2 linked regions of the Mytilus edulis genome follow. The protein of the gene in region 2 purifies or fractionates together with the protein of the main gene of each other region. This does not show direct contact. Links are inferred from orthologs where the notes say so. Each region holds a gene or a part of one and is shown on either strand. Other genes may lie near its edges. The genes, in order: tRNA (adenine(58)-N(1))-methyltransferase catalytic subunit TRMT61A-like and tRNA (adenine(58)-N(1))-methyltransferase non-catalytic subunit TRM6-like.

Region 1 (16,858 bases), about 4.2 Mb from region 2:
TCTTTTGATCTTTTAATGAATAATTTGCTTAAAAAGTGTGTTGAGGGAAAACCTTGGTATATTATCTTCAATTTGATGTTGTAAAATACTTTAATAATTAACTATGCAACTCAACTAGAATCTAAAGGAAAGCAGGCAGAGCTTAGCCATGGTACAACATATTTATTTTCATGTTATTCCATAAAACTCCGCCCCATTTGTGTAAAGAATTCTGCCTCTAAAATATTTGAACAATTATGAATTTTATTTTTAAACATAAATCAATAAATGATTTAAAACCACAACACACCTCATTTTTCAGTTAAGAAACCTTAGGATTTTTAACGAGTTGCTTTATAAGTTTGAACAAATTGCTTTGCTGAGCACAGCTGGATACGACCACAGATGTCCAACCCTGAAAAGTTGGGGCCAAAATGGACACAAAATTCAGGCTTGATACATGTACAATTCTGAACTATGATTGTAACTAAATTTTTTACACATAATAGGTTTCTGACACAGAATAACAGTAGCCAAAGAACTTCAAATTGGTTAAATGATCTGAATTTTTTGCTTTTGTGCAATACACTATGCTGTTTCAAATTGACCCTTTCCCCAAATTACCATGTTTTTTTGCTTTTTTGCAACATACTATGCTCCCCCTAAAAAAAATATTTCAAGAAATGAGAAAAATTGTCCCCCCCCCCCCTCAACTTTTTTTCATCTCCTCCCTTTCCCTTATTCCCCAAAAAAATATTTCCCTCAAGATATGGTCAGTATCTCATTTCAAACTTCTAATGGAGTTTCCAAATATAATTACCCATTTAAATACATGTACATCATAAAAGTTTTAAAATATAAACTGACATACATACATTTGTAGTCATGGCTAAAATTAATATTTATCAATAAAAAAATAAATTTAATCAACTCAAGACAATCATCATTTTTTAATACATAATTTACAAGCAGTGTAAGGGAGGTAATCAAATAGTGTTTTTTAAATAGATTTGGATTACCTCCCATAATGTAAAATATGTGGCCACAGACCACAATTAATTCCTCTCACTTCTTTATAACCTTTTGCATCATTAAAAAAATTGCACCATGCACTTTTGTCAAATATTTTGTGTGTGTAATGTTTAGTCCTAGTCCAAATATATATCCAAAATTCAGAAAGATTGAAGCAATCACTTTTACAAATTTAGCCAATACACATCCATACCCCTATTGACAAGTCAAGAGATGTTCCGAAAACTGTAAATATTACCTTTTTGCACTTGGCCTAATCACTCATTCCATATCAAAATCAGTTAAAATACAACATCCAAAAATTTATTTCACCTCTCTTTTTTCATTTCCACCCCAAAAAATTTAAGAAATGAGTGAGGAAGGTAAAGAAAATAAATTAAGGAAAAATACACTCTATTTAAAAGGAACTATATTTGTGGACAACGAAAAGCGGGGTCATTAATTGTGGTCTTGGGCCTATTAGTGGCCTAAAACTTGACCAATTCTAATAAAACTTGGCATGATTCAAGCTTAGTATACTATAAAACAGTTTACAAAGTTTCAAAGACATATGATACCAAATAAAAAAAATGTGGCATTTTTTATATCTGAACTTTGGGTGCTTAATTGTGGCGTTGAATTAAAACAATTTCAATTATCAAATTTGAGCTTCTAAAAATCAAAAGATACCAAAAGTTAAACTAACACTTTTTAATGTCTCTATGTATAAGTTAACATCTATTTAAAGCAACAGAAAGCATACTTCATGTATCAGACTTATGAAAAATGGCCAGAAGTTAATTTTATATGAGCCTGTGCCAAAAAATAGAGGTTTTCAAATAAAGTGAGGCCTTATATCAAATGTAATATTTTTCACTTACCACAATTTTCTATGGTTGTTAAGTTATCAAAAAAACTTGAACATGTTATAAATGTACTTTTAATGGAAATATAAGTTTCAAATAGCATAACACATGTGGATAAAATGGTCTTTAGCAATGTCATGCTTAAAAAAACAGGTTGTCAATTTAGGCCGTTCCCCACATTTGCATATTAAAAAGCATATAAATGATATGGGAGATGGAGATATGCTTCATTTTGCTTAAATCTGTGCTTAGATATGATAAAACATGTAGCCTGGATGTAACAAGACTGTCACTTTCAACTACATATGTAGACAGTATGGTTTGATGCAAAGTTTATTAACTTTACTGTTTAAAACCTGAATGAAATTTCAGCCTCAAAAGGCCAATATTTTAGCCACTAGCTATCCAACAGAAGAAGGTAAAGGTAGTCTGTGAAACAGAAATGGTTAAGCAACCAGTAATAAGTGTTTTTGATATAGATTCAGTGCAATCTGTTTAGGAATACAACTTTTAAGCGCATACAACTTCACATTTCACCTGCTGCATAAACTGACCGTTAGACTTAGACTATTAAAACAGCACATTTTGCACTCTTTTTATGTTTTTATCTACTTTTTTTTTGTGTTCAGAGTTCACAAATAAGTTAAACAACTGAAATAAATACCACAAACACAAATAGATATCAGAAAAAACCTGTTAGAGAGAAATTAAGCATGCTGTTTTTGAAAAAATATTGAAAAAAGTGAAAAAGCTACATTTTGGGAATTTAACCTGAAAAGTGACTTTTTCACAAAATTTCTATCAAATGAAAGTGAAAATCATTTCTTCTCATGTAGTTTGACAAATTAATACCAAGAGATCATTCAGAGAAGATGCCAAAGTAAAAATTAAAAATTTGCTGAAATGCACCTCTTAGGCCACAGACCACAATTAATTCCTCTATCAGTTCTTTATAAACTTTTGCATCATTAAAAAAATTGCACCATGCACTTTTGTCAAATATTTTGTGTGTGTAATGTATAGTCCTAGTCCAAATATATATCCAAAATTCAGAAAGATTGAAGCAATCACTTTTACAAATTTAGCCAATACACATCCATACCCCTATTGACAAGTCAAGAGATGTTCCGAAAACTGTAAATATTACCTTTTTGCACTTGGCCTAATCACTCATTCCATATCAAAATCAGTTAAAATACAACATCCAAAAATTTATTTCACCTCTCTTCTTTCATTTCCACCCCAAAAAATTTAAGAAATGAGTGAGGAAGGGAAAGAAAATAAATTAAGGAAAAATACACTCTATTTAAAAGGAACTATATTCGTGGACAACGAAAAGCGGGGTCATTAATTGTGGTCTTGGGCCATGTGTGAAATAACAATAAGTTAGTGATAAGTTTCCATAGGAGATAACCTAAAACATTATTCTTTAAAATAAAAACTTTTTGAAAGAAAAAATTATTATCTCCCCATGGAAACTTCCTACAAACAGAATGTTTGATTCTTATGAATATAGAAGGCTTTTCGAAAGACAATATATGAAAGCTTAGTTTAGATATTTTTATAGCAATTCAAATTACCAACAGTTCACCTTTAGCATGGTAATGATTATAATATATCTATACAAACTGTTTGGCAGGTTTTGTCACAACATTAAAGTGGACAAAAATCATGTAGGATTGTAAGTATGTTTTATTTTATCACCTTGCACTTTTACATTTTGACTCAATAATTTGTTCAAAATTCTGACCAGTTGAACAGTCTAAAATTCAGGGTACATTTTATCGTCATGCACCAAAAATTACCATTGGCAAAATTTTACCATGATTTGTCATGAAGTTCCCCCCTCCCCACCCCACCCCATTACACCCTCTAAGAACTTTTGTAAGGTGTTAAATTGACTTATTGACTTTTGTCATGAAAAAAATACCTTCTTTTTTGAGAGCTTGCTTAGCACTAGTTATTGCATCCCATGGTCTTGGTAAGTCAAGGAAAACAGCATCTGCTATACCATTTAATCCAAATCCATCCTGACATACATCTTTATGAGTAACAGTTACAAAATCACTAACACCATGTTCCACAAACTCTTCTTTAGCTATCTGTGCTCTCTGTTCATGAAATTCAAATGTATATAAATGTCCTTCAGGTGCCACTGTTCTAATGATGGCATGGGACAAAGATCCACTGCCAGTTCCTAAAATAAAGATTTTTATTTGTTACTTTAATAGGTATATGATAAGCTGTACAGTAATTATAACCAATCATTGCATTCATCTATGTCATTTGGTCTCTGGTGGATAGTTGTCTTACTGGCAATCATTCAACAGCTTATTTTTATATAATATCATGTTCCTTTTCATGACTGAACATTTTGAAAAATGCTTACTTTACTTACTTACTGCCCTTGTACGCCATTGGCATATAGAGCAGAAACAAAGAGTTGCAAATGCTCTTCCGGCTTCCCCTACATATGGAAGCTTTCAAGACGTGACGGCCACATTTCCATGACGGCCCTAGGATGTGTCGGCCATACGGCCACATCCATGGGACGTATCGGCCATATCTTGTGAGACGTATCGTCCACACTTTAATTTTTTTTTATTGAAGTTATAACATATAATATAATAATAAAATAAGTATTTATTCATAGTAATAACATGAATTTGATTTTGTAGTATTTTTTTCTGCACAAGAGATCTACTGCTCACCTTTATTTATTCTTGTAAGAGTTATCTCAAGTTTGCTTTATCATCATCATCACTCGTGTTTATATCTTGGTGGTGCCATATTATGTAAGTATATTGATTATTTCTTCATTATCAGTTAGAAACAATTTCTGAAGAATTATTTTTTATCGTAATGTGATATAAAGGCATCTTATTTTATATGAAGTTGAAACTATAGGAATGCTGACTTTCGATGGCAGACGATATATAAATACAAATTACAAGCACATGTTACTGATCTTTTTATTATATCTGTAAGAAATATATTATTCTAAACAAATCTGTGATGATTTTATAGTCTACTTCTACCTAGACTTCTACAAGTCAAAAGATTTGTAGAGAAAATCAGTCTTGGTGAAATTTAAAACAGTACTCAGTGTAAAGGTCACGTTAACTCTACGGAAGGCAATTTGAGTTATATTTGTCATGATCATCATATATTTAGTTTAATAATTCTGTATTTTTCTTCTTTCTTATAGTTTACAGTCATTCCTTTTGCAGAACATCTTTCCAAGACAGAGACTACTGTAGAATTTTCCATAACAAGGACACCAAAACAAACTACCCCTAATATATTACGAATGTGCACCCTTACACATGTAACATGATAAATGATGGTTTCAGGAATGTTCTTATTGCTTTGTTCATTATGTTGAACACTGTTTGTTGACAATTTAAATGTTCCCATTTTTGTTCATTTGTTGATGGAGAAATGGAACGGTATTACCTGGACTATTATACTGATTTAGTATAATAGTCCCAGGTATTATGGACTGAGCTTATGGACAATCATACCAATATAGTATAAGAAACACAAAATATATTTTATTTATTAATTCAGTCATACAGATAAACAAATAATATACAACAAACATATAAACCATACAGCATACACCTTTACGTTAATAATTGTAAATTTGTTTGATAATTGGCAATCTCGTAAACTAATTAAAGGATTAACACCTCCGAAATTTGTATACTCAAAATTTGCATTAAACAGAGACACGCGCCCAATATATTGCTCAAAAGTTTTCTTCATTTGATAAAAAAAATTGTAAATGAACCATAGAGACTGAGTGCCACCGACATTTCTGGTTACTTTTATAAAGCAAGGTCGGTACATCAAAAAGACTGCTCAAACAGCTTGTATTTTTACAAGAATTTCACTACCTAATGTATGTTTGCACTCCACTTGAACTCAGCTAGGGTGCTGTATTTTTATAGTGATCTCGAATTGTATTTCTTTTACAATTTCTTGACAAAAGCATAATTAATACTTGTGTTCATCAAAGAAGTTATAATAAGCAATTAACAACCTTCTTTCGGAGGATATGACAAAATTAAACATGATAAATTATGTAAAAACAGTATTGTTTATTTAAAAGTTATAATAACCATCTATAAGTATCAGAATATTTCATATATAACATCTATAAAAAAAAAAATTAAAAAAAATGGATGATACGTCTTCACAAAGTATGGCCGTTTGTGTCCTATATGGCTGTTTCATCTTTTCGGGGTATGGCGGATACATCCTATGGCAGTATGGCCGTCACGTCCTGCATCCATATAGAAAATATATCTGTTCATTAGTATATCTCTGACTTTTGTAAGGACTTATCCTGTTACCTTTTGCTGATTATGATATAAAAGAGCCTTAGAGGTTAAGAAAAAAACTAACAGCTTTTGAATAAGATATATGAGGTGAACCAGCATAACATTTTGCATATACCTCTATTGCTTACACCATGACACATAGCTATATATCTAAAACTTCACACCTTTTATCATGTTTATTTTATATAACAAATACTCATGAGTCGTGGATATTTTAGATTTTACAACTTCTTTATATCTTTAGATTATATGGGGACGAAGTCCCCAATTACGGTAGAAAAATCAATGAAAAAAAAAAAAAAAAAAAAAATCTGGGAAAATTTCCCGAATTTTTCATTGTACTAATGAACTCAAAATCGTTAACGTTTTTTTTCAGATCTAGTTCCTGTTCCGGTTTTCCCGCATTTGCGCAGAAATCTGTCTTGTTTGCATGAGACTTTGATTTTTTTTTTATATTTATCAGTCTAGTAAAACATAAGATTGAATCTCAATACAAATTCAATTTTAATAATTGTTTGATATGAAAAAAAACGTTACGTTACCTGATGAAAGCGTTTCTTTTGTTTACATCGAATATGACGTCATAACTTAAAGAACGTCACAGCTAATTCCCTAACAACAGAACCAAAATCGGGAACGTTACGTACGGTATTTCGGTTTCATAATTGAATTAAGAAAATAATACATACAGACTTCGTCCCCATTCACAGGTTATGCCTGCCTCATATTACCCTGCCTTCAACAACAATGTTACCACTAGGCTAGTACTGTTGTCATCAAAGTATCAACAACAAGCCACAAGGAGTACAATGTATGTCTCAAATGTTGCAAGAGAGACGAAAACCATCACTTAAAGACTTTGTTACCATTTCCTTAAATTTTTATCTGATGTTTTGTTTGCATAACTAGGGAGATTTTTTCTAAATGTATTTCAGTGTTAAAGATTTTTTTTTACAATTTAAGGTACGGTTTTTTTTTTATCCACAAACATTTAAAAATCCATGTATGATCACCTGATTCTACTACCACAGATCCTGGTTTCAGATCTAACTGTAATGTTACTAAACTGATATCAGTAGAGTATAAAATTTGCGTTCTGTGAGGTAAATTCTGGGTCCACAATTCTGGGTTAGGGTACAGAACATACAAATATCCTTTTGGACATTGTATTCTACTTCCATAAGGTTTCCCTATCAAGTTTGACAATCTTAAAGCTCCAAATTTCGTTTGAAACGTCTGTCCTTTAACAACTTTAATTGCATGCATGTTGTCAAACCCAAGATACAATATGGCAGTGTCATTTTCCTCAATGTTTGTTCTATACTCCTTGAAACTCATTTTTGGTAGAATTTCACGTGTTTTTATTTTTAGCGGAAGTATGATTTAAGGGACGTAATAACATTAGGTTAAACTAATAACCAATCGGTAATTAAAAAATTGACACATTACCATGTACCCACAATCGAAACCGCAACCAGATTCGTATTATATGTATCTGGTCATGGTAAAATGACATGTGGTTTGATTACGTATGGAGATTTTAAATGTATCAATTTTCATGAAAAAGACAATAGTGCATTTTTTTTTTAAATTGGATAAATATTCAGCAAAAAATGACTTTTTTTATTCTACATTCATGAACATTTGTTAAATATGAGTTATTTGTAGAAATAAGATGTACAAACTAATAGAACATTTATATAAAACAGAAATTACAAATAAATTATCAAAAAGAAGCTTGTGTTTATCTTTTAAAACAAAAAAGTTATGTACTTCTGTCGAAAGGAAAAATACGGCAACAAATCCGAAATTTGAGGAAATATCTAATTTCAACCTTAATTTACTCAAAAAGTAGCACATGATGGTATATTTTTATAACATATTTGATTTAATCAGAGACATATATACACACGTGTATATATCTCTCAGATTTAATGACCCTCTTTAATCAGGTAAAAACATACATGCAAAATTTCAATATGGGATCTAAACTGTATCGTATGCCCATACTGCAAACTTGATAACGGCCGAGAAACTGTAAATGGGCTATGTTACAGATTGAGCTAAAATTTTGCATAAAACCTATAACTGAAAATTGGTGACTCATCGGTTATAAATATCTCGACTGAAAGATCATCATAGCTTATTTATATATCATGATTTCCTTGTTTGTTAACTATTCCGACTCCAAATGCAGCTTAAGGTGGTATGGGTGTCTTTCGCCATCTTGGATTGTAAAAACCAAAGAATAAAAGGTCTAAAATTTGACGCAGGAATGCAGATAACTGATATGAATTTGCATTTTAAGATCATAAAATATTTTAACAATATAAAAAAGAAGGTGTGGTATGATTGCCAATTAGACAACTGTCCACAAGATACCAAAATGACACATACATAGATAGATAATTTTTTGCTTGATTTTTAATGTTTTTAAATTAGCATTTTAAGTGTAGGTAACTTTGAAATAGTGCATTTTCTGAAGGAATATACAGGGAATTTGCTATTTTGCATTTTAGCGGGAGGAAAAAAACGCACGTAAGGTGGCCATAAATCTTTTCATTGATATTTTCAAAGCATTTTCTAAAAGCCATCTTCTCGTTTTCTATTTTACAATTCAGTGGAGGTAACTTTGAAATAGTGCATTTTCTGAAGGAATATGCAGGGAATTTTGCTATTTTGCATTTTAGCGGGAGGAAAAAACGCACGTAAGGTGACCCTTAATTTTTTCTTTGATATTTCCAAATCATTTTCTAAAAGCATCTTCTCGTTTTCTATTTTACAATTCTATCATTTAGTTTAGCTTTTAATCACATAAAAGAAGTTTTATTAAGTATAATCCATATAAATGTGCCATTTTGTCACAACCTGTAGCTTGAGAAAATGCGCGGTGACCTATACTTTTATTATATTTTTGAACATATATCAATATTTACTACAGTTTGGAAAAGTCATGATGAACAATAGTATAAACAGAAGTATGAACAAATTCTATCATTTTTAATTTAGACTCGGTTTATCTAAAAAAAAAAATAAAAAAAATAAACCGGCATTATCTGAAACTTAGAAAATCGAGATAATCCCGGTTTATTTGAGCTAAATGTAAAAAAGTGAGATAATTCTAGTTTATCTGAGAAAATCCTGGGGTGGTGTTCTCGAAAGTATCCTAAGATTCGTCCCAAGTCATAGATAAGACCAACTTTAGGATGGACTTAGGATTGACTTAGGACACTCTTAAGCTGTGTCTCGAAGCTATCTCAGACGCATCTTATGTTAGGACGTCCTAAACTTATCCTCAGTGCAAAATTTAATTTTTTGATAAAACATTTATTAATGATGAAACCAATGAATAAATTTGTTCAAGAATTTTATAATTACATGTAAAGATTTAAATGCATGATTTCGAATGTAATTATCATGATTATAAAATTATATAAAAAAAGGATTGCACTTTAAACTGAAATGATAATTGAATGTGTAATGTCATCGTATCGTGATACACGAAGTTCAAAGTTTAAAATCATGCACTATTTCTTTCTATACGAGGTAAAAACCGAAGTCCCGTTTCATTTCGTGTTCATTTTCACGTAAAATAAATATCAAAAAGCAATTTCCAAACTTTATTAAGTTAGGATGGTCTGAAGACACCTAATTATGTGTCCTAAAGTTAGGACGAAAAATGCGATATATCCTAAGTTAAGAGAGCTTCTAGAACACGACTTAGGACAAAGACTTGTCCTAAGATGGTCTTAGGACACGTCCTAATCCTAAGATAGCTTCGAGAACACCACCCCTGGTTTATCTGAGATAATCTAGGATAATGAGCTAATATAATCATATATAATTTATCATACGATAATTAGAGAAAGGTTCCGATTTAAGTATTCCTTAGTTAAGTGAAGACTTAAGTAAGTTTATGCATACGACTTAAGATTTTTACTTAACTAAGGGAATTCTTAGTGAAATCTAAGTCTAAGAAATAATTGAGTTAAGATGTTTTATGCATACGGGCCATGTAAGTATGTATTTCTTGAGATAGAATTTTCTTTTACTTTGCCAAAATGAAGATTTTACTATGCTTTAATTAAATTAAATATATATTAATAAGTATGGATCACCGTGCTATTTTCAAGCTCTGATCATGAGTCGTTGAAATTGCCTAAATTTGGTTAGATTGTTCATGAAAACTGATTCGTGTGTGTGCTTAAATAAATATACGAGATAGAAGTGAGAAGAAAGGTGTCACCAAAAATGTTTTCTTGCTACAAGTCAAAATTAAAAATTTCCCTATCAGCCAGTATATATTTTTTTTTACTAAAAGAGTTTAATAGTCTCCCCTTAAATAGCTTATTTGAAACAAATGTTCTCAAAACACGAACTTTTATATTTGATTAAATATTTTGTATTATAAATTAAACCACCAAGTTTTCTTTATATAAATAAACAGTCTAACCATATAATTGTTTTACCTATATAAGGATGATTTTTTTTTAAATCGAATTTGTCAATCAAATGATTTATCCTTGTTTCACTTTCAATGCTGACATTCTTTTCCTTTGAGTAACTATACACGCACAATTCGTGCATTATCCATCCCTAGCTAAGGTGTTATATTGAAGTTCACATGAATACGGATTTAATGAGGTTGAATTATTCACTTGCAGGTGAATAATACATTATAAATGTTTCTTCGCTTATTTTAACAACCATAATGCCTGCTAAAAGCTAATTATTATTTCACTATTTCACTTTTATAAATGATTGAACGAATAAAAAATAATATTTTATTTTTTTATTTATCTCGTAGGTAGTGCCCCTTAATTGTTTTAAGTGGTTTTGGTATTTTTTTTTATTTTAGTTTAAAAGGGTTTTAAAAAAGTTTGTAAATATGTGAAATGTTTGCAAATGTAAACCAAGTACTAGACCCCGTTCACGCTAGGACACTTAGAGCGATTTAAACTAGATCGGTTCACTTTAAATCGATTAATTTTAAGGGATAATGTGAACGCTTTGAATCGGTCTTCAATCGGTCTAAACTAAAACACCAAAAGAGATAGTTTAGTTTGAATCGATCTAAAGTAAACCGATCTTACTTTAAATGTGAACACATAGATCGGTTTAAACTAGTACGATTGAATCGAAAATAATGTTTGCACATGTATAGCGGCAAAACTATATATCATTGGTTCATTGTTTAGCCCATATTTCTCTGTTAACAGACCTTTGTGTACATGCACGTTTTATAAAACAAAATGAAAACATGTTGTCTTCGACGTAGCATAAATTGGCATAAAAGGACACCTACCATTCAATCGTTGTAATCTTTTTCTGTGTACAGTATCGGAAAGTACGCGTTTTCTGACTCGGAAAGGAAGCAGGAACGCCGATTCTATCGGAAAGGAAGCGTTATGAATATACACCGTGAGAAAGGAGTAGGTTCAGTAAGACCCCGTTTTGGCCCCAAAATATAGCAGTTTTAGAAAATTGTGAAAATGTAATCTTTAAGCTATATTTTGGAAAGTAAACTGCTTCTGCTGCATAAATATGAGCTGTGTTTGACAATACAATGCACAAATATCGCGTTCTATCATCATTAAGTCATGCTAAATTACTGAAATCTTCACAATTTTACCATTTTGGTTAATTTTTGGACGGTTTCTGTCTATAATGAAAGTGGCCGCATTCGTGTTCATCCATAATATTGAAATGTAAGTTGTATTTGATGATAATACAAAATATGTATGAAGGTTGAGGATGAACACGGATGCGGCCACTTTCATTTTTGACAAAAAAACATCTGTAAAGTGACGTTTTTTGGCATATTTGATAGATTTTTCATATTTTAGCTTGAATCAGAGCATTTTTAATGAATAAACCAGTTAAAAGCTTTCACATAAACTAATCGAATCAATTGAAATAGACACTAAAAGTGTTTAAAAAGTGTCCAAAAACTTCCGTTAGATGGACCTGAAATTTGAGGCCAAAATCGGCCCTTACCGTCCCTACTCCTTCGCGAAATCTGTGTCATCTTTTCATATATGTTGATTTTTTTTCTTGTTGATTTTTTTCTTTTCACTGAGGAACCGCAGTATTTCGTCATGTTGTAACTTCGTTGCTACATTTTATTTTCAAATTCAAGAAATTAAACTTCAATAATTCATGTACCAGTATCAAAATTTAAACTTGTGATTCAAGAGAAACAATAACTTTCAAGTGTGTGTATCATTGTATCAACACATTAATTTGATAAATTAGTTCTAATTATACGCAATGTTTACAGTTTTACGGGTAAAAAGGTCAGATCGATTGCGTTTTTAATTGTAGTGTGAACGCACTGGTTCAGATTAGACCGATAAAGATCGTTTTGATTAGAGATAATGTGAACGCTAACTGATTTTATTTAGTTCGATTCAAATTAGATCGATTAAAAAAAATGCTAGTGTGAACAGAGTCCTAGTATATGTTCCATCTTCAGTCATAGACTTTGAACGCTTCTTCACAAAGAGGATTCATTTACTAAAACTGCGCAACTCACTGTTTGGCGTAAACATCTTATTTACTACTTTATGTAAACCAAGACAATTATGCGAAAGAGTGAGAACAACTGCGCCCCAATATGACATGCAAAAAATTAACTATATGACAAAGTTACAACCTAAAATTTCACCATATAATGATTTAAGGCATGGTAACAAAATTCAACGACTATTTTTTTCTTTATTCCTTTTCTTCTTCTTTTTTTTTTTTATAACAAGTGAACATATTTCTTATAATGGCAGTTTATGATACGCGGGTCATTATCAAAAAATTATACAATATGAAATGTAAATAAAATTATCCTTAATGTTTTCTTAAACCCTTGGATATAGCCAGAATTAACTTATTTTTTACCATAAATCCTTTCAGACCTGAAATATGACTATTATTCATATCATTTGTTATGATAATTTATCACTATTTATTGAATTTTGATGCATACAAACCATTTTACTTTAATGATTTGGGAGGTGTATGTTGGTTTTATAATACAAATTTTCACCATAAGGAAAAGTTTCATTTTTTAAGTCAATGGTGTAACCAAAAGACAATTTGGTAGGGTAAGATTTATCTTTCTTAAGATTTTAACATTTACAATAGTTTCTCCCTTAGCAATGTAGCCTGTAAGCATGTTATGCAAAAGAAAACAAACATCTATGTTGAAAATTTAGTGAAAAATCTTAAAAATAAGTTTAGTTTAAACATATTTTATTTGCGTAAATGTGCAAAGGGGATGAGACACAAGTTAATCAAACTTATAAAGTCTTGTCCCATAACAATTTATAACAGTAGAATATTTACAAAGCATGCATACAAACAATACATTATGTATATATATATATAACATATTTGAACTCTGAAAAGATGGTGTGTGATGATGTGAGTGGTAATACACAATATGCATGTATTTGCACTTTATTATGTTCTACATTACACAATTAGAAACCTCTTAGACTCTTTAATAAATTCATATACATTCTTTACAATTCTTTCATTTTCAACATTACTTAAAGACTTATCGCCGGAGGTTAAGGTGTTCAAATTTAGTAGAGAGTTATCTGGTAACCAATGTAGATTATTAAATAATTTGGTTCTTATATTCGAATAATTAGGACAATAAAAAAAGAAGTGACGTGAATCTTCGAACTTGGCACCACAACTACAAGACGGATCTGAAATAATGTTGACTCTGTTAAGATCATAGTTCAAAAAAGAAGCTGAGCACCTAAGTTGTGTCAATATAATATTGAGTTTACGATTGCCAAAGTCATAATGTTTTGGTACTTGGGCTTTTGAATTCAATTTAAGATTTTTTAGTTCGGTTTTAAATTTACCTAAAGAGTCAATGTTGCGTGTCACCACATTAAGGTTATTCCACAATCATATTGTTGAAGGTATGAAGGACTCTTGGGTTAATGAAAGTCTACAAAAAGGGTATATTATATCATTCCCATTACGTAATGGATAAACAGCTGTACTTTGGATTGTTGGTGGAATAGAATTGCAAAGATAGGTTGGTGCATTATTATGTTGAATATTATAGAATAATTGTAACTTCCTTCTTTCTATTCGTTCAGCTAGAGTTTCCCAACCAATCTCATCATAAATAATTCTATTACTTGTAAAAATAGGAAGACCTGTTACAATTCTGGCTGCCTCAAGCTGCAGCTGTTCTAATTTTTTACAATAACCCACACCCATATTATCCCAAACTTCACATGCATATTCGAAAAGCGGTCTAATTAAAGTCAAGTAAAGCTTTTCTAAGTTGCTCCTACTTATCATGTACTTTAATTTTCTAAGTACATTTAAATGTTTAGATACATTTTTTATGATATTTTCCACATGGGTGTTCCATTTAGCATCTTTACTAAATGTAACACCCAAGTGTTTGTGGAAGTCTGTAACTTCAATCCTCTTACCATTGAAAGTGAAATTCATTTCTGGAGTTTCAATGTATGAAAACAACATTTTTTCGGTTTTTGCTGGATTAAAGGACATCAGCCATTTCTTAGACCAATCGCTGAGCTCACTCAGGTCGTGACTGATCACTGATTGTATTTGTGTCGTGTCACGACTAGAGTAGCCCAGAGATGTATCATCTGCAAATAATCTACATAAAGAAATCAAGTGTTCAGCAATATCATTAATATAGATAATAAATAACAGGGTCCCAAAACAGAACCCTGTGGGACACCAGCTGAAATACTGCAAAGTTCAGAGGAAGATTGTTTAATAACAACTCGCTGTTGTCTGTTGTTTAGGTAACTTTGAAACCAATTTAATAAATTTCCGTCAACACCGTATGACTTCATTTTATGTAGCAATCCTTTATGCCAAACTTTATCGAATGCTCTAGAAAAGTCACAAAAAACAAAACAGCTAATTTCTTTATTTTCTGATGAATTTAATATAGAATTATAAATTTCTAAAAGCTGATGAACTGTCGAATATTTTGGCAGAAAACCAGACTGGTATTCATATATTAACTTATTTCTATGTAGGTGATTGAAGACATGTTTATAAACAACTCGCTCCATTATTTTCCCTACACAACTTATAAGCGATATTGGCCTATAGTTAGATGGTAACGAACTATCTCCCTTTTTAAAAAATGCTATTACATTAGCAATCTTCCAGCTGGTGGGAAATTTACATTGTTGTAGGGATTTATTAAATATTATTTTTAAGGGAATTGCTATTTTTTCAGGACACATTTTCAGCATTTTATGGCTTATGACATCTGGACCAGATGCCTTATTAGGATCTAAATTTTAATTATATCGACTATTTCATCTATTTCAATTACTAAATCTTTTAAAAAAATATTTGTTCTTGGCTTAATTTCGGGTATTGGAACACCTTCCTCCTCTAGGGAGGAAATCAGACTAAAATATTTATTTAGCAGATTACATTTCTCGTCGTCTCCGTACACTACATCTTCCATGCTTTCATCGTGAATAATATTATTAAGTGGGGGTAAATCACCAGAACCTTTATTTGATTTTATAAGCATTTTCATTATTTTCCAATAAGTTTTAGGGTTAGCCACGTTATTTAAGATAAGATTATCCAAACTTCTTTCAAATTTTTCTTTTGCAGCTTTTTTCATATTATTTACTCTGTTCCTCTGCTTTTTGTATTTATTGATATCACAATCTTTTTTAGTTTTTAAGGCTTTTTTACGAAATCGGTCTCTTCTACGAATTTCTCTCCTTAATTCATTGTCAAACCACGGTCGGTCATTGTTTCGTATATAAACATGTCGAGTTGGGATGTTTTGCCTGGCTATGTCTAGTAGTTTTTGAGTAAATGTATTGCACATCTCGTCAACATCCTTAACATCAGAAAAAAGTTCATCCCAACTGACAGAATCAAGGTCTAAAGAAAATTTATTTAGATCTGCTTTATCGTACAACCAAATTTCTTCAAAAATAAGTAAAAGCTATATCGCAATTGAAAATAGTGTCCATCGTGTACCCTTTATAAAAATCATTTTCCGAAAGATTTCCTGAACTTTGATTTATGAAAAGATATTGATTACAGAAACATGCACCAGGAACAACATATAAAATAGGGGAATGGAGCACTTATTTTGTACATGTAATTAAATCTTAAAATTCAACTGTAAATCATTGGTGTTACTGTCAATGGTGAGACCACTTTGATAAAATAACACCATTGACCAGTTCAGTAACACCACTGAATATATAATGACAATCAGCTTTTTGTGTGTTTCTTTCATGTTTAACAAGCGAAACATCATATTATTTATGAAATACAATACTTATTTAATCTTATTTAATACTATCATGTATTACATAAACAAAGTTTAAAAAAAATGATGTATGCTGCATGGTATCACCAATGAAACTATTTAGTAACACTATATATATATATATTGACATATTTAGTTATTGATGTTATGTTATATAATTTTAGAATTTTTAGCCTTAGAATTATTGGGTTTTTTTTTCTTTTTATTTTGCTCAGTGCACATGTTCTTTGTTTTGTGTTTATTACTTAATAAAAGTGAAATTTGAAGTATGTTGTCAATGGTGATACTTTTGTGTCATGGAGTTACTGAGGGGTCAGTGGTGCTACTTTATAAAAATGCAA
Region 2 (16,893 bases):
CCCCGAGGCATTACTATAGTTATTAGGAGGGCCCTCAAGATTATGACACTTTACTGGAGTGGCAGTTTTATAACAGGAAAAGGATAACAAACAAAAAATAAGTTCAAAATGAGGATTTAGATTATGTTAGAAACTCGATCTCAACAAAATGACATTAATTAAATGACCGAAATTGTTTCTGTAAAAAAATGAAATTTGTCCTAAATCCCAATTTATACTCATTTAGGACAAAATACTTCCAGTTTAGGTCAAGAGTGGCATATATGACCGTTTCCGGACCCTTGGTATCCCCATCTTTTTATTTGATTTTTCTATTACGGTAAGTATAAGATAAAGTTCATTAGTAGAAAAATATAGCGAAATCCTATATTAAAATAAAATTTTGATTTAGACCCGCGAGCCACCTTAAACTGTACTATGAATTATCCACTGTTAAATGTGTAGGCAGCAGCAATTTCAAACAAAACTTTTCATGCAGTAACCCATGACAGTCACATTGAAACTCATTTAATTTTATCATACACCAAGTCTATCAAAAACTTTCTATTTTTAACCATATCAACGTTTTAATTACCCTTTGTTAGTTTAAAAGAATAGTCTGTATAAAAAAATGGAACTTATTCCTATCTGGAACCTTTTATAATATGACGAATTATTAGTGACAGAAGGAACAAAAATTCAACTTTACCCATAAATGAAAGAAACTAAATTTTAATTTATAATTAATAAGAGGAAGATTTTTTACTTTTTCATTGGAAAATGTGGTCTTGAGAAACATATTAGGAGGAACTCTTCTTGAAGAAGTCCTTAGTGCTCTATATAATCAGACTACTACTTCAGAAAAGTCCAGGAAGTAAATAAAAAAATTCATGTCAAACATAATTTGCGTATTACAACCTCATAAAAAAATTGTGTCTCATTGAACTTTTAAATTTAAGGTTAATATATACCCACAAAATCAACAAAAGTAAAATACTAATAATCACAGTATTTTATTCAATAGAATTAATAATCACCTCCAAGTCTTTCTAAAACTGCTCCAACCACAAGTCCATTAGTAGTATCCACAACAGCCATGTTACAATTCGCCCGAACATTACTGTAGGTCAAAATCTGGGCTAATGTGTCAATTCTTATGTGGCTGGAAATAAAACAGAAGACCATAAAAATTTCTATTGCAACTCATCTTTCATCTTATTAGGTCTTTCCACTTTTACGTGGAAAGACCTATTGCTTTTCTTCTGATTATTATTAAATTTTTTTAATTATTTTTTCTTCCGCCTAATTTTTTTCCTTTGCTGTTTTTTTGTTTCGCAAGATGTTGCTTAGATATTTGGAATATGAAATCGAACAGTTTATACGCTTTTGAAACCAACTCGGCTTAGCCGAATACTTTCCCATATAAGAGGTATCTCCCGGAACACTGTTTTTCTTGTTATCTCTAAGGCTTCACAACTGTATAAGAAACCGACAAATTTATTTTTCCAAATTGCTCCTTATATCCTCAGGATGTTCTGTTTTATTTTGACCGAAGTCTTATAGAGATTCCATATGAGAGTTATTTCCCTTTTCGTATTTGAAATTTTGAAATGTATTTAAAACTGGAAAACCATAAGTGATAGAGGCCTAGGTTTTTTTTATTTGAGGTCCTTGGTCCAAAAAAATTAAAATGAGGTCAAGGTCAAAGGTCAAGGTCATGTTCAAAATCTTGATTATGGCTTGTTATTTCTTATTTTCAGAAATATATCGACAAAATATTTTCACACAATTGTTTGTTGCGGCAAGTCGTAACAAATAAATTTTAGTTGAAAGGGTATGTAGATGATTGAGGCGAGTTTTCCCCCCTTTTATATCTAATATTAGTTTTATGGTAATATAACTCATTAACAGAATAAGGTAGAGGCCTAGAGTCTTTTGATTTGAGGTCCTTGGCTGATGACCTTGAAATTGAGCTCAAGGTCATAGGTAAATTTAATGTTCTAGATTTTGACCTTTGCTTTTACCTCATATGTATACATGATAAAGCCATGGGGCTTTTTGCATTAGGTTGTAAGCAATGTGATCTAGAAAAAGCCAACTGGAAGTGACCTTTTGTAAACCGGAAATAACTATATTTTGTACTAAATTAATGTATATAGTATATAGAACCATATATTTTTGGAATCAGTGTCAAGTAAACTATCAAAAAATACCGGAAGTAACATCTTTTAAACCAGAAGTAAAAAATGATTTCCCTTATTTATATCTATTTGTATAGAAACCATATATTTTTGGAATCAGCATTCAATTGACCCTAAAATTGACATTTAAAACCAAATTTTAATATTTTCATATAAAAAAAAAATCTTTACTAGTTGAAAGACCATCAATGGTTCTCTGAATGATTGGTTCTTATTTCTATTATTGTTTATAGGGGTGAAATAAATAATACTTGCATACAAATCAGTACAAGTTTAAATAATCAAATTTATTTTTTTACATACCGTAAATTTAAATACATGTATAAAAAGACATAATTTTATTTCTTTAGACGCAGACTTTTTTACTTGATTTTAAATACATGTATAAAAAGATATCATTATATTTCTTTAGACTCAGAGAAAAAAACTAAGGACAGACAAGCAGCTTATGCATATTTTTTTCTTTTATATTAAATATTTCTACCTGGAAGAAAAAGCTGCATAACATTACAATATTAAATTTATACGGCTTTCTTCTTCGTTTTAAAAACTAAAATATGAAATACTATTCATTCCTTTCAATAATATGTTGACAGCAATACATGTACATGTATTTTAAATAAAACGCTAGGATGAAAGGCCTGGTTTTAATTATTCAGAATCTGCCATAAATTCACCGTTTTAGAATCTAATGCATTCTGGGTGATATTTTCTAAACAGTACAACAAAATGTTGTAATTGGTTAAAAATATCCCAAACAATGAATATTTAACCAGTTACGTGACAGTTTTTTTTGTTGTGGTACGAACAATCTAATTATACCAAAAAAAAAAGATTCCAAAACAACCAATTGATGCAAAACACAATAATCTTATTTCGACACCCTACTGGCAATTTTATTATTCAAACTTGATGATGAAGAATGACATGAACATCCTGACATGTATCATAGTTCTATTTTTGAACATGACAAATAACATACCATATTTTCTGTGGAGCTTTTCCATGGTACATTTCACAAAGTAATCTGGCTGTTGGTTTCAAAACTGTAAAAATCTGTAAATGTCTGAAAAATAAATTCATATTAAGTGAGTGTTAAGGATGAATTCTTCTGACGTTTCAGTCTCATTGAAGTCCTGTTATGGAATTATTTCCAAAGCATTTGATACAAATGAAAAATATCAATGAATTAAAAAATTATTATAATAAAACTTAACTCTGTGAAGATTGGTTCAATTCAACTTTATTGGAAGTATGCAAAAAAGTTTAATTGTGAAACTGTGCATTTTATCATGATCAAAGTCCAAAAATAAGTAAAAATTGATAAAAATTTAAATTCTAGAAATTTTTGGCTCCTCAGAGGTGAACCATACAGTTACAAATGAGGTAATAACAGTGCTACCACTTAAGGAGGCTAGCGGGTACAAAAATTTCAGAAAAAATTAAACATTTGTTTTTTCATTACAAATTTGAGTTATTACACTATTAGTTATTACTTTATGATATGGTAGAAAAATCAACCCAAAAATCGATTTAGTTTCGCCCCAGATGACTTTTAAAATGTTAATATCATTGAAAAAGCTGCAAATTATCTCCCTTTTGTGCAAAAATGACATTTTTTGGCATTGAAATTGAAATATCTTTTTTTAACACATCGGTGACCTATATTTTTTATTATTATTTTCAAATAAGCTGTACATAAACTAAATAATTGTAAAATTTTTGCGATTTCTGTAATTAGGTTATTTTTTTATTTCGATATTACCTATATTTCTCCTATTAGTTCAACAGAAAAAAGGACATTAACAAAAATGTAAGCTTTTTTCGGAGGCAGATTGTGAGCTTAAATGAACGGTGACCCCATATTTTAATTTTTTTTTCTATTAGGTATAGGATAAAGTTAATTTATAGAAAAAATTGGCGAAATCCCATATTAGAAAAATAAGTTGATTTATACCCGCGAGCCACCTTAATGTTATTTTTTTCGTAACATTGCAATGGGAAAATGTTGTTTTTTTTTACTAGTTTAATCCTTTTCTAGAAAATAATAAGAGACCACTGTTGGTTTTTTAAATTACATTTAGATCAATTAAATAGGATAATTATAAGGGTTGTTTTTTTTTAATTCACAATGAATTATTACACAATAAGTTAAATATACAATAGGAAATCTTTTTTTTTTCATAAAAACATGAAAATATAATAAATATGAAATCATTATCAGTTACACTATGTATTTTCAGGAGTCACTGTTTTTATAAAGTGTGTCTCTGTCTCAATCTTAAATAAGAAATTTGGCAATAGCTGCTAAAGAAACAGTTTACATGGCCTGATAGACTTGTCGTTTTACTTTTTCTTCTTCTTCTTGATCCATTTTTCCTGTGCATATTCTGTTTTGTCCTTAAATGTTGTACTATTTTCTATTAGCTGACCGATAATTTTCTGTAAAATAAAAGAGAGCCTTATTATCACAAATACATATATGCTTGAAACACTAAATCCAGTATTGTTTGGCTTAATTATGATTCTAACCATGAGTATAGTACTTGAAATTTTAATGACAAGGCCAGAAAAACAAATCTAGAGTAATTCAGCACAGATGTTTTCTGATTAAAAACTTTACATATTTTATCAATGTTAATAAATATAAAGTTTTCATATTCATATCAAAACTTGTATAAGAATTACATGTTTTATATTTTGAGTCACTTATTAATTACCTCCCCTTCCATACCAGTCTTTTTCATTAGTTCAATGTCATCACGTGACAGTTTCTGATTGGAATCTAAATCATGCAGTCCTCGGTTATCTTTTCCCTGTTCTGTTGCTACAATGAGTAATATATCTTTGACATCACATGCTATACAATTACAAATAAAATTAATCTGTGCATGCTAAAAATATCAAATACTTGATAAATATTACTTGTCACAAATTCTACGAAAATGATGGTGATGTTCTCAATTTCTTTTTCATAAAACTTTTCCTTAAAACTAATAATCAACAGTGCCAAAAGGGAAATAACTTGTGGATTAATTAGAACAAAGCGTGGTACTTATTTCAAAAGTTAATTTCATGCTTTATCAAAACTTTGCTTTCACATGACAATGATACTGTTCTGTCTTATTCGAGGCACATTCTTTTCTAAACTTACACTGGAAAGCTTCATCCAGTTCCTTTTTGTTGACCTTTACCATTTCTCCATTTGTGACCCTGAAAGTTGTCCCATAACGATGTCCAATAACTCCATCTAATGTAAATTTCACTTTATCTAACCAAACAAATCTATAATAATAAACAATAAATTTAATTTGTAAATTACATGTACATTTTTGTTTATATATAAATACTTTCCGACCAGTAACAATACATATGTCATGTATGTATAGGTGTAACTCAGGGCTTTCAAAAGTAGCAGGTAGACGGCGGATAACCGCTGTTTACGGTGGCTTCAAGTGCCGCCTACTTCACTGACAAAAATATAAATTCAAAAAGAAAAAAATATCTTTTTCAAATGTTTACAGGCAGCTGAGAGACGTATTGTCACAAAGTCGCGGTCACAGTTAACAGGGATGAAAAGTCAGTGTTTACCATGGGCTAAATATAGTTCACATGAATTCAGGTCACTGATTGGTTGTCTATTTAAAGTCAGAATGCATTGTTTCTTTTCAAAGATAACAAGAGAGGTTCCGGTGGTCATTGAACGATAACAAAGAGACGTTTCGATGGTCGAAGTAGATCATGTTGTTCTAAAAACAGTATCTTTTGAAGTTTATTTTTCAAAGCCCACGTGGTGTTCAGAGAATCATGGCCAAAAACGAAGGTAGAATATTGTCGACTCGACCACAAATAACATTTATGTATCCGACTTATTGAACAGTTTACGAAAAAAATAGAAAATCAGAGAATATATCAATTTTCTGTCATTGCTTGAAAAATAATTGTATGATTTAAATACGCGTAATAGTCTTTGGAGAAAAAAGGTGGTCATTTGTTTACAAATGCACGTAGTTATGCAAAATAAATCGATCAAGATTTCTAACAAATCAGATTATTTATATAAATAAAACTCCTTTAAAAGCAAATAAATTTTTAATAAGCAAAGGTAAAGAAAATAAAAGACAAACCATTACATAAAAGAAAAGAAATTTCTTTGAGATCTTTTATCTTTCTTTAAATTCATACATAAAAAATGGTTATTTGAAAGATGAAATTGGGTGCCAGGAGAAATTCGAGAATGCAGGATTTTGCTCTATTTATGACAGAGCTTCTTGGGGCCTTGAGCAGCCCCCAGGCCCCCTGCTTTCGCTGAACGCATGTCACAGCCACCTATAATTGTAATTTAGCCTACTACTTCAATTTCAAGGGAAAGCCCTGTAAATAAACTCTTTCAAAATATTTGATTTTTTTAAATTTTAGCATACATGTATTTCATAGATTTTATTTGTATTATCTGGTTTTGCGCTGGTCTTCTATTAAAAATCTGTTGTCTAAACATGCTAAAGTTCAAGTTCAAAAAGCTTTATATAATATCTATAATAGAGTATAAACATTATCCCTATTTGGAAATTTGTCCCAGTTGACCTGATAAATTATATGGTTCGCTACTGACCCCCTACGGATCCATAGAGGATGAATAAAATCCATAGGGGATTCAGCCGGACGCATTCATAGAGGGTTAGTCAAATCCATAGGGGGTGAGGCCAGCGGCCGAATCCCCTATGGATTTTATTCACCCTCTATCATGTCTATGGATCTGTAAGGGGTTAGTAGTTAACCGTATAAGGAATTTATCGCACACTGCGTTTTTGTTGAAAAATAAACGATGAAACAGAACCACATTAATAGCAATAACTATTGATGTCCATCACTTTTCCATTGTGGTGTCAAGATACACATGTATTATGATGTCAAATTTTTAGGGGAACCTTTGTGATGTCCTGACAAATAGCTATAAGCTGTATAAAAAACATAAGCTATAATGTTTTTAGATTATTTTATGATTCACTAATTATGTTTATACTTCAGTCTTGACGTCTATAGTCTAAATAATTATGACCTCTTGGAAGGCTATTTTAATTTTTGCTTTGATGCCTTCCTGCATCGATGTAAGGCGACAAAGATAAAAAAAAATATATCATAGCCTTTCAAGATATCATAATTATTTGGACTAGTATAATTTGATAAAGAGTACGTAATATATTTGTATGCAATGTGATGAAACTAAAAGCTCTTTATAGAGCCCTTTAATTGGTAATAAAATATTCTTATTCTTATGGGTAAACCGGTGTTTAAGGATTCAAATTTTCAGCTATTAAAATTAAAATTATTGAATATGTAAAATAGCCTTATAATATATATATATACATGTCAAATTATTGATCCTTTTTTTATGTTGATAATTACGGTTTATTTACATATTTAAACGTTTGTTTGTCAGATTTTTCCAGTATCACATACCTCTTCTTTTTAATCTGAAATACTTGACAACATTTTCCTTTCTTCAGTATCACCTGATCATTTTCAGACAACAATTTTGTTGATGAAATATTTTCTGCACATGCCATTTTAGAAAATGAAAGTACAATTTCGCTTTCAATTATGAACTTATTACGTGGTTTTTAACCCCCATTTGATAAACGCACAAATGACTTGGAAAGTGATGCGTAATCATGAAGCGACATCTATGTAAACAATTCCACGTGGTAAAACGCGGTTTCACTTTGATTGTTGTATCCAGACTTCCCAAGCAACACCAACAAAATGTAGACGGAACAAAAGAAAATGACAGATTCTTTTCTTTTCAGCAGACCCAGTTGTGGAACATTTTGTGAATACAGCCAGGTAAAATATCCAAAGTTTGTTCCAGTAGAGGAAACAAAGAAAAGCTACAAATTTCCAGCCAGCAAAATTGACAAAGAAGCTCCAAAATGCTGGTTTGAATTACAAACTTGGTACACAGATTATCTTGATGAAAAGTCATTTAGGAAATTTGAAAAGAAGAAATTGAAAACATCACTCAGTGATTCTGCTGTTGGAAAAAAGTCCAAAGGATGTGAACATCTGTGTGAATTGAAACAGGTTTATTTTGATTGGACAAATAGGAAATCTTTAATTACAGATAAACGTTTTGGTACAAACAATCTCAAATACCTAACTAATGGGTCAGCTTATGAACAAAATGAAAGTAAACTTTCTGTAGAACTCTATATCAAAATAATGAAGCAACAACTGTCATCTTTTCGACTTTGTCAAATGAAAATAGAATTGATTGTTCAATGTTTACAAATGTTCTTCAAACCATTTGATAATACAATAGTGTTATGGGTTACTGACGCTGATCTACAAACTCATACTGATAAAGCGAAGAAAAGTGAATGTAAAGACATTTTCAATGAACCTTTGACAGAAAATTGTATGGATGTGAAAGCTGTACTATACTTAGATAAATCTGCAGCTCGGCTCTTGAGACATAAGGATATGTGTATGCTTGATACACTTGCAACTTTAATTGAAGTGAGAAAAGACAAAATAATGATCCTCCCAATGTCTATCCCATGTGCATCTGTTACTGATCAGACTGCTGTATAAAAAAGGTGTAATTTAAACTGAAAAATAAATATTATGATTCCTGTTTTCTATTTTATGTCCATCTAAAATCAGGAGAGCAGTGGTGCAGCCGTTAGTGCATCGGACTTCAAACACAAAGGTTCCTGGTTTGATCCCCAATCTGGGGTGAAAATTTCAGAGACATAATTTTTGGCTCTCCCATGATACCATTTGTGAGTATGGTCTTGAGAAATGATAATAGTCCGACGAAAGGGGATGATAAATGGCTGACCCGTGTTTAGAGAGAGCAATATCTCTTGCATGTAAAAGACACTCTTGTAGATTTTCGAAAAAGAGCAGGCTAATGTCTAATTAGTTTGATTGCAAAAGTTTTGAGAATTCCCTATCATAATTTCTTTGGTAGATGTTGCTGATAATAAGGAAGGTATTAAACCAAGAGTTCCAAGTGGTTGCTATGCGGAGTAGGTGGATTGTTATGGAATATGTTTCACAGATGACTGATACAATACAAATGTCATAGCCACAATTTGTCTACTTTTCCTTCAATGTGACTTACTGAACTAGACTAATTACTTGTTTGTTTTTAAATGAGCAACATGGTAGGTGCCACTTGTGTAGCAGAATCTGCTTTCCCTTCCAGAGCATCTGAGATCACCTCAGATTTTGATGTGCTTCTTGTTGGAAGTTGCTTAGTTTTCTAAGTTGTGTTTTGTAGACTGTTGTTCGTCTTAGGTTGGGTTTTTTTTCCAATTTTTTGCTGAGGCATTGTAATTTCTTTTCAACTAGTTTTGACCGTTCCTATTGTATCTTCTGTCTTTCTTTTACAATTATACAACTGGTCATTCAGGTCAAAACTTAGCAATGGTCTTTTTTCAAATTGTACAAAAGGCCTCATATTGTTGATAACATTCAAATTAAATAAAAGAACAATTAATTAAGAAGTCATTATTTCACTCATTATGAATATTTGTTCTTCAATTTGTTATGTAGAGGTCCAACTTGGTACTAACAAAAAATTCCAAACAAAATATAATTCTATTTGTAATGAATTATTTTATAAAAAAAAAAATTATTTTTTTATTTGTGTACATGAGAATAATTTGAGATGTGTGGTACATGTCAATGAGACAGCAAAGCCCCAAAAATAATTCTTCTAGACTCTAGAGATAAAAATAAGTTGGGTTTTTTTTAAGGGTCCTTTCAATATTGTAAAAAGAAACATTGAAAAGCTGGCACTGCCAATTTGATGCTCCCTGAATTGCAAATTTATTGAATAGAAAAACTTTTTTTTTTTAAATGGTTCTGCACCATTGATACTTATGTGCCAATTTTCACCTGTACAAATGTGTTACAATCAATATAATGGAGACTTGAAATAGTATCCAAAACAATGACAAAGCAAGGACTATATGATCAACAGAGTATCATGAAACCAAAACTGTACAAATACACATGGAAACCATTTTGGTTAATACACTTCAACCAAACTTGGCAGGATATGGGGCACATGAACAATAGCAGTTCCAAAAATATACAAGAGTCTCATAAGAGCTCCAATTGCTTATCTGGATTTTTTTATGTAGATCTTGCATCAATGATTATTTTGCTGTTTTATATATATTAATGTCTTTAAACATGCCACTTAAAGTTTCTATCTATCAAAAAAAACAAAATCTGAAAAAAATTTGGTAACAACCATCTTTCAAGGATTATTTTAAGAGTAATAACTTTTTACTTGGATGAGATTATAGCTGAGAAACCCTGTCTTTGTTTGAAAAACCATGGATAATATATAAATCTTGCGATACAGAACTATTGAGGCAGCCATACAATTTATTTGTATTTAGTGTAAATAATCAAAGAATTATTAATCCAAGAAATTAAATATAAAAAAACAATCAAGAGTGACCATCCACCATATAATTCAGTCTTAAACAATGAGCAAAAATCTGCCATTTATGATCAGTTTTGAGATTCATGTATAGATCATTGCTGCTACATCTTTATGCTGTCTTCATTTCATATATGTTTTATTATATAACAACAATACTGATTTACAAATTTTATTTCATATTTATTCCATTTATATTCATCAGTTTTTAACAATAAATTATAATTATCACAGATTTTTAAGGACAGGTTTTCATCAAGATGCAGAGTTTCCAGAAAAATAAGCTCTTAGTTCTTCATAATGTTTCATTTCATCATCAGATAAAGATGGTGTTAAAGCTGACAAGGACTGTAGAAAATCATTCTCTGATACAATAACGTTTTCTTGGTCAGTTGTCTCACCTGAAAAGAAAAGAACAATATATCATTAAATCTAAAACAAAAACAAAAGGTCCACTTGATTGATTATCAACACATAGATAAACATTCTTCCAAAGAGGATGCTACTTTTAAAATATTCAAATAATTTTTTGTAACACTGAAATGAAAATTTTTGTTAAATCATGGGAAAAATTCTTCATGACTTAAGGTTTACCCAACCTTTTCTTTATTTGCACAATTTTTTTTACCAAGGACTCAAAAGTAAAGTTTGGGAAAACAGATCGAAAGACATGTTGATGTCTGCCAGTAAATGAAGGTTAGTATTTCTGGGAATTCTGTTTGATAATTCAATATTTACCACCTTCTCAATGTCCTTATTTTCAATCAAAATAATCCTGATTGAGAAGCAGAATGTAATCAGACATAAAATAGTTAATTGTAAGTTGTTAATGGACATTAACTATACAAAACCTGCTTACCAGCTTCTAGCATGGTGATTTTTCTTTTCAAAGCATTCAGCATGGCATCAGAAGCTAAAGCATAGAAGTCAGCACCAGTTAGATTCTTTGGACATTTCTCCACAACATTTCTCAATTCTAAATTCTTCTCCAATTTAAATCTAAAAAATAAAAGCATAAAAAAATCAGCATCTGTTAGGACATCTTTTAGCAACATTATTTGTTGAATAAATTTTTTCATCAGTTAATTCTAAAAAGTAAAAAAGTTTTAAATTTTATAGAGTCTCTATTGACAACAAAACTCTAGTGTTAATCCTTCCCCAGGTCATCTTCGCTGGCCAAGGGTTACAATCCACTCCCGTTCTCTTCACCCTTGGCGGATTGAGCTAACATTTCGGAGACACAAGGTAAGGATTTTTATTGGTTGCAGTAGAAGCTCGCTGCATCCAATCAAAAAGCTCCTATAACATGATCACGTGTAAATGTAGAAAGTGTTTGTAAACAATTGCCATGTGTTTATATTGTGCAACAAGTATTTACCCCACTAAACATACGACTATATTTAGTGACAACTCGAATATTTTTAATCAACTAATAGCAGTTCCTGTGTATGTTTCATGCTGACGTATATTTTCGTTTCCGGCTTTACCAAGTGTGTAGAATCTAGACGCTTCCGTGATTTTACCTCCAAATTGAAGAGTTCAAGTGCTACCATTGGTCAAGAATAATGTATTCGGAATGGGCGTGACTTTAATCTTCCGATAGATGGTGCTACATTGATATCACAAATGTTAGCTCAATCCGCCAAGGGTGAAGAGAACGGGAGTGGATCTTAACCCTTGGCCAGCGAAGATGTCCCCAGGTTTAAATCTACAAAAGCATAACATGCATGGAGTCGTTGACCTATCAAATTTCCATAACACTACTGGAGAAAAAAAATTCAAAAGCAACTTTGACATAACCTTCTAATTAATTTGTCTTTTGGTTGATATATTGCTCATTGAATATAGAATTGTACCACATTATACTATTAGAACCATGTGATTCAAATTCAATACCACTCATAATTTTTTAGTTTAAGATTGCATGAAATGCAATCAAAACCTTATGGGACTGACTTGATATCTAAATCTTCCAAACCTTATCACTACCTTTTTGATACACAAAATATAATGCATTGATCATAACATTCTATATTGATTTCACTGTCGCAAATATCCGTTTACCTATCTCTGCTCCATGTAACTAGGTAAACTTAATTTGACAGTAAAATCTACATTTTACGAAGGCCAAGCTTAAAATACAATACAGTTTTCTCCTAATTTTACTTCCACTGATAAATTGAAGCAATCTGTACCCTTCAGTACTTTACAAGCACTTTGATTTAATCTTGCAGATACTTTCAATGTGTCCTTTATTTTGCAAGCATTGTTATTCATCAATTCCTACTTTTCTATGGTCAAAGCAAAACTCAATGGTTTGTGAGTTTTTAATTCAAGGTTTTCCAAGTTTTTGATTCATTATTATGAGTTGGGTACCAATTTTTTGGATTTCCTCTGATTTGATGGACCACCAATTTTTATTGTTTACCAGTTATATATTTCATGAGATGAACAACTGGTTCCTATTCAAAACTAACTTTCTTGTTAATGCCTGTAATATCTTCAACTGGGAATCAGTATCCTGACTAACTCCAAGATACAGTAACTTGTCAAATCTGTAAATATATTTTGTATATACATCTTGTTGTTAAATATGAAACAGAATGGTTGATTTCACATTTATATGAAAAATGTTAAAAACATTAATTTAGTAATTAAAATGTTTATTTCTTTAAATCCCAAGGTCTTGAAGATTAAAATACCCGGTACATAAAAGTAAAAAGTGCTTAAGGTCATACAGAGTTCAATATGCCTAAGCCTTTATCATTTATAAATATATCATTGGTCTGCATACATCAATCACTTTATCTTGGTGTCCTGCTTTGTCCCAATTAGACTTTGGAAAAAAAGATATTTTAAGGCATATAAACATTTACTATGCAGTTAAAATTAAAGACTAGTCTGAAAATCCAACCATTTTGAACTAAAGCTTATACAGAGACTTTTATTTCTTTAATAAATTAGTTTTATCCAAACACAAACGCACAAAAAATATCTACATGTAGAGATAAAATAAAAATTTATAGTTGCAGAAAAATTTGTGTTCTCAAAAATGAACAAATATTTATGAATTGACAAAAATTTCAAGTATCGTTCGAAATTTTGTACTCCATTATCATGAATAAGGAAAATTTTTAATGACAAGAGTCTTTCCTGAGATTGAGGATCATAATAATGATTACCTTCCAGGCCTGAGTAGGGCAGGGTCTAACAGGTCAGGTCTGTTTGTAGCTCCTATCACAAAAACATCACTGGATTTATGTAGACCATCTAGTTCTGCCAACAACTGTGACACAACTCTGTGAACAAAAATATCTTTACATAAAAAGTACTCTCCAATATAAGAGAAAACAATTTTAACTTGATTTCTGTAAATTTGACATCAATAGGCTATTTGCCAATTCCTATAATTGACCCTGTAATTAGAGATCCCTTTTGTAGTTGTCTCCCTTATGAGGGACATTGATTTTTATTTACAATGAAGAGCTACCAGAAAGAGCAAATTTACCTGTGCCTAATGTGAGTAATCTTTAAGGTTTTCAAATCTTTTGATTACATTAATTTGTTGTTAAGCAAAATACTTTTGACATCAGAAATTATTTTTCATGAAAAATTAGTTAAACTGCTGATACATCACTTTCAATTCATTATGCTTTGCATTGGCAAAAACCAATTTTGTCTGGTATGGAACCAGTCTACGATTGACAACGGGAAGTAATTTGTCGGTAATTGGCAAATGGACTATTGACCAGTCAATTTTGCAATGTATTTCCATTGTTTAACATATATATGCATGCTTTGTGTAGAAAGACAACTAATATGACAAAGAGTTCATGGAAATAACATGTTTGTGGCTTCACATATAATTATAATAATAAGGTTCAAATCCCTCGGGCAAAGTTGACCTTTGCTGGATTTTTGAAATTCTGTATATGCCCTTTTGTTATTTATATATTTTCATGTGTCAGTGAGTTGGCAACACCTAACTTTACATCCTCCATCATAAATACCTATCCATAACTCCACCAGAGTCTCCACTTTTCCCTCTGTTGGGTGCTAAAGAATCTAATTCATCAAAAAATATAACACATGGTGTGGCACTTCTAGCTCTTTCAAATACTGTAAAAAAAAAAAACAAGATTAATTTCTTCAAATATATATTTTTTACTCTGGAAAATAGTACAATGACACTGGACAATCATGCATAAGTCAATTTTTTTTTTTTTCTTATTACATTTGAAATAGTAGTTAATGTAATATCTAGTATTGGATAAAAATAAGTTCTTATCATATTTTCGGGTTTATTAGGTACTTTCAAAATTGTAATATAAATCTTTTGACATATTCTGCCTTTTTTAATAATAATACTTTATTCCAAAAGCAAGTACAGCTTATAGGATATACATTCATTTTTTGACAAATTAATTATACATGCACCATATTAAATAAACAGACATATAATAATCAAATGTTAACTACATTGAGATACATTAAATTACTTGTATACAATACAATTTCAAGTATAACGCAGAGTATGAAATTCATAAAATTAATAAAAGTTAGCAGCGTAGTTTCTCCGCTAATTTTAAGTATTTACCAAGATCGTTCAGTTCTTTAATATTCTGTACAGATAACAATTGTATCAATTTATAAGTAGAGGGGTGTCTCCAATAATATTGTTTGATATATTTTTCTCGAATGTCAGCATATTTATTACATTCCAATAAAAAATGAAATTCGTCTTCAATGGAACTTGTATTACAATAAATACATAATCTATCTTTCCTATCAATATTATAATATCTTCCTGTCTCTATATTCAAATTATGTGCACAAATACGGTACTTACAAATATAAGAGAATAGAGTGAGTGGTGTTCTGAAATTTGGAAGTCTCTAAACTGTTGATTCCAATGGGTTTTAGCGCTCTGAGTTGGAGGATCCAATAATCCTCTCTTTTGCTCCTAAGGACGTCTGACGTGTTGTCATTAGGATCGTTCCAGAGGACTTCGATGATTTCGAAAGACATATGGTGGATGTTGTGTCCTGTCTGGTTGAAATGTTTACCAGTAGGTTCCGTTGACTTATTTTTGACATATCGGAGATGTTCGCCGAGTCGAGCTTTGAAAGGACGTTTGCTTTTCCCAACATATTGTTGTTTGCAAGACTTGCATGTAATCATGTAAATGATATTTGGTGTGTTGCAGTCACCAATATAGTTTTTTCTATATTTGCGTTCTGTGAATGTGCTTGTGAAAGACCTTCGGAAATTGATCCAAGGGCAATAGCTACATTCTTCGTTGCTGCATTTGGTCAACTTATTTAGTGTACTGATACCAGATGTCCCCGGTGTGATTGGCGGATATTGGAAAGCCGCTCTAACTAGAATGTCTTTGAGGTTTTTATTTCTTTTGTAGGCAAAGAGCGGTTGTTCACTAAAAATCTGTTTGGTTGTTTCTTTTATATGCAACAATGGCCAAGTAGTGTCAATAATCTCTCTTAGATTAGGACTGGCTTTTGTATAGCTCAACACTAGAGGTATTCTTGTCATTTTTTTGGTGTCTTTTTTGACTGGATTTAGTAATGCTTTACGGTCTTTTGCTTCTGCTTTTTTAAGGCTGGCATTGAGAAGAGTTTTATTATAGCCTCGGAATTTGTAATATTTCAACAAACTTGCCGAGTGTCTTTGAAAATCTGCGTCATTTGTGCAGTTTCTTTTTACCCGAAGGAATTGCCCATAGGGTCCAGCTTTTTTACATGGTATTGGATGTTCCGAATCGTAATGGAGGTACGAATGGGTATCAGTGGGTTTGGTATATAGTTCAACCTCAACTGTACCCAATGTTTTCCGGAATTTCACAATAGTGTCTAAGAATACAACTTGTTCTTCAGATACTTCAGCAGTGAATTTGATTGTTCTATGCTGAGAATTCATGTGTTGTATGAATTTATTGAGCGATTCTTTACCATGCGTCCAAATAATGAAAATGTCATCAATGAACCGTAGGTATAAAAATGGCTTTAGAGGGAATCCATTTAATAGTTTCTCCTCTAGATGTCCCATGAAGATATTAGCAAAAGACGGAGCTACTTTGGTGCCCATGGCTGTGCCACCGACTTGTAGATAAGTTCTATTGTTAAAAGTGAAATTGTTGCAGTGAAGGACTAATTTGAGAAGTTCTAATAGCCCTTTGTTGGATATTTGATAAGACGCTTTGTGTGAATGTAGGCTTTTGGCAACGGAAACCAGACC

Evidence for each region.
Region 1: the proteins of tRNA (adenine(58)-N(1))-methyltransferase non-catalytic subunit TRM6-like (region 2) and tRNA (adenine(58)-N(1))-methyltransferase catalytic subunit TRMT61A-like purify together in Homo sapiens (affinity purification with mass spectrometry; 4 studies listed by BioGRID and IntAct, counting the BioPlex papers as one, with this or other methods). This does not show direct contact. The link is inferred for Mytilus edulis from reciprocal best matches to the Homo sapiens genes TRMT6 and TRMT61A.

Annotation. Positions count from the first base shown.
Region 1 is NC_092346.1:23,881,766-23,898,623, forward strand, and holds the start of tRNA (adenine(58)-N(1))-methyltransferase catalytic subunit TRMT61A-like, read right to left. Parts: upstream 7,595-16,858; 5' UTR 7,541-7,594; coding exon 7,216-7,540; intron 4,054-7,215; coding exon 3,787-4,053; intron 1-3,786. UniProt on the Homo sapiens protein: Catalytic subunit of tRNA (adenine-N(1)-)-methyltransferase, which catalyzes the formation of N(1)-methyladenine at position 58 (m1A58) in initiator methionyl-tRNA.
Region 2 is NC_092346.1:19,644,187-19,661,079, forward strand, and holds the start of tRNA (adenine(58)-N(1))-methyltransferase non-catalytic subunit TRM6-like, read right to left. Parts: upstream 7,817-16,893; 5' UTR 7,748-7,816; coding exon 7,641-7,747; intron 5,466-7,640; coding exon 5,335-5,465; intron 5,008-5,334; coding exon 4,901-5,007; intron 4,623-4,900; coding exon 4,531-4,622; intron 3,247-4,530; coding exon 3,163-3,246; intron 1,142-3,162; coding exon 1,017-1,141; intron 1-1,016. Other genes in the region: peroxisomal ATPase PEX6-like, read right to left, coding at 10,897-11,042, 11,501-11,640, 13,119-13,196, 13,824-13,940, 14,652-14,760. UniProt on the Homo sapiens protein: Substrate-binding subunit of tRNA (adenine-N(1)-)-methyltransferase, which catalyzes the formation of N(1)-methyladenine at position 58 (m1A58) in initiator methionyl-tRNA.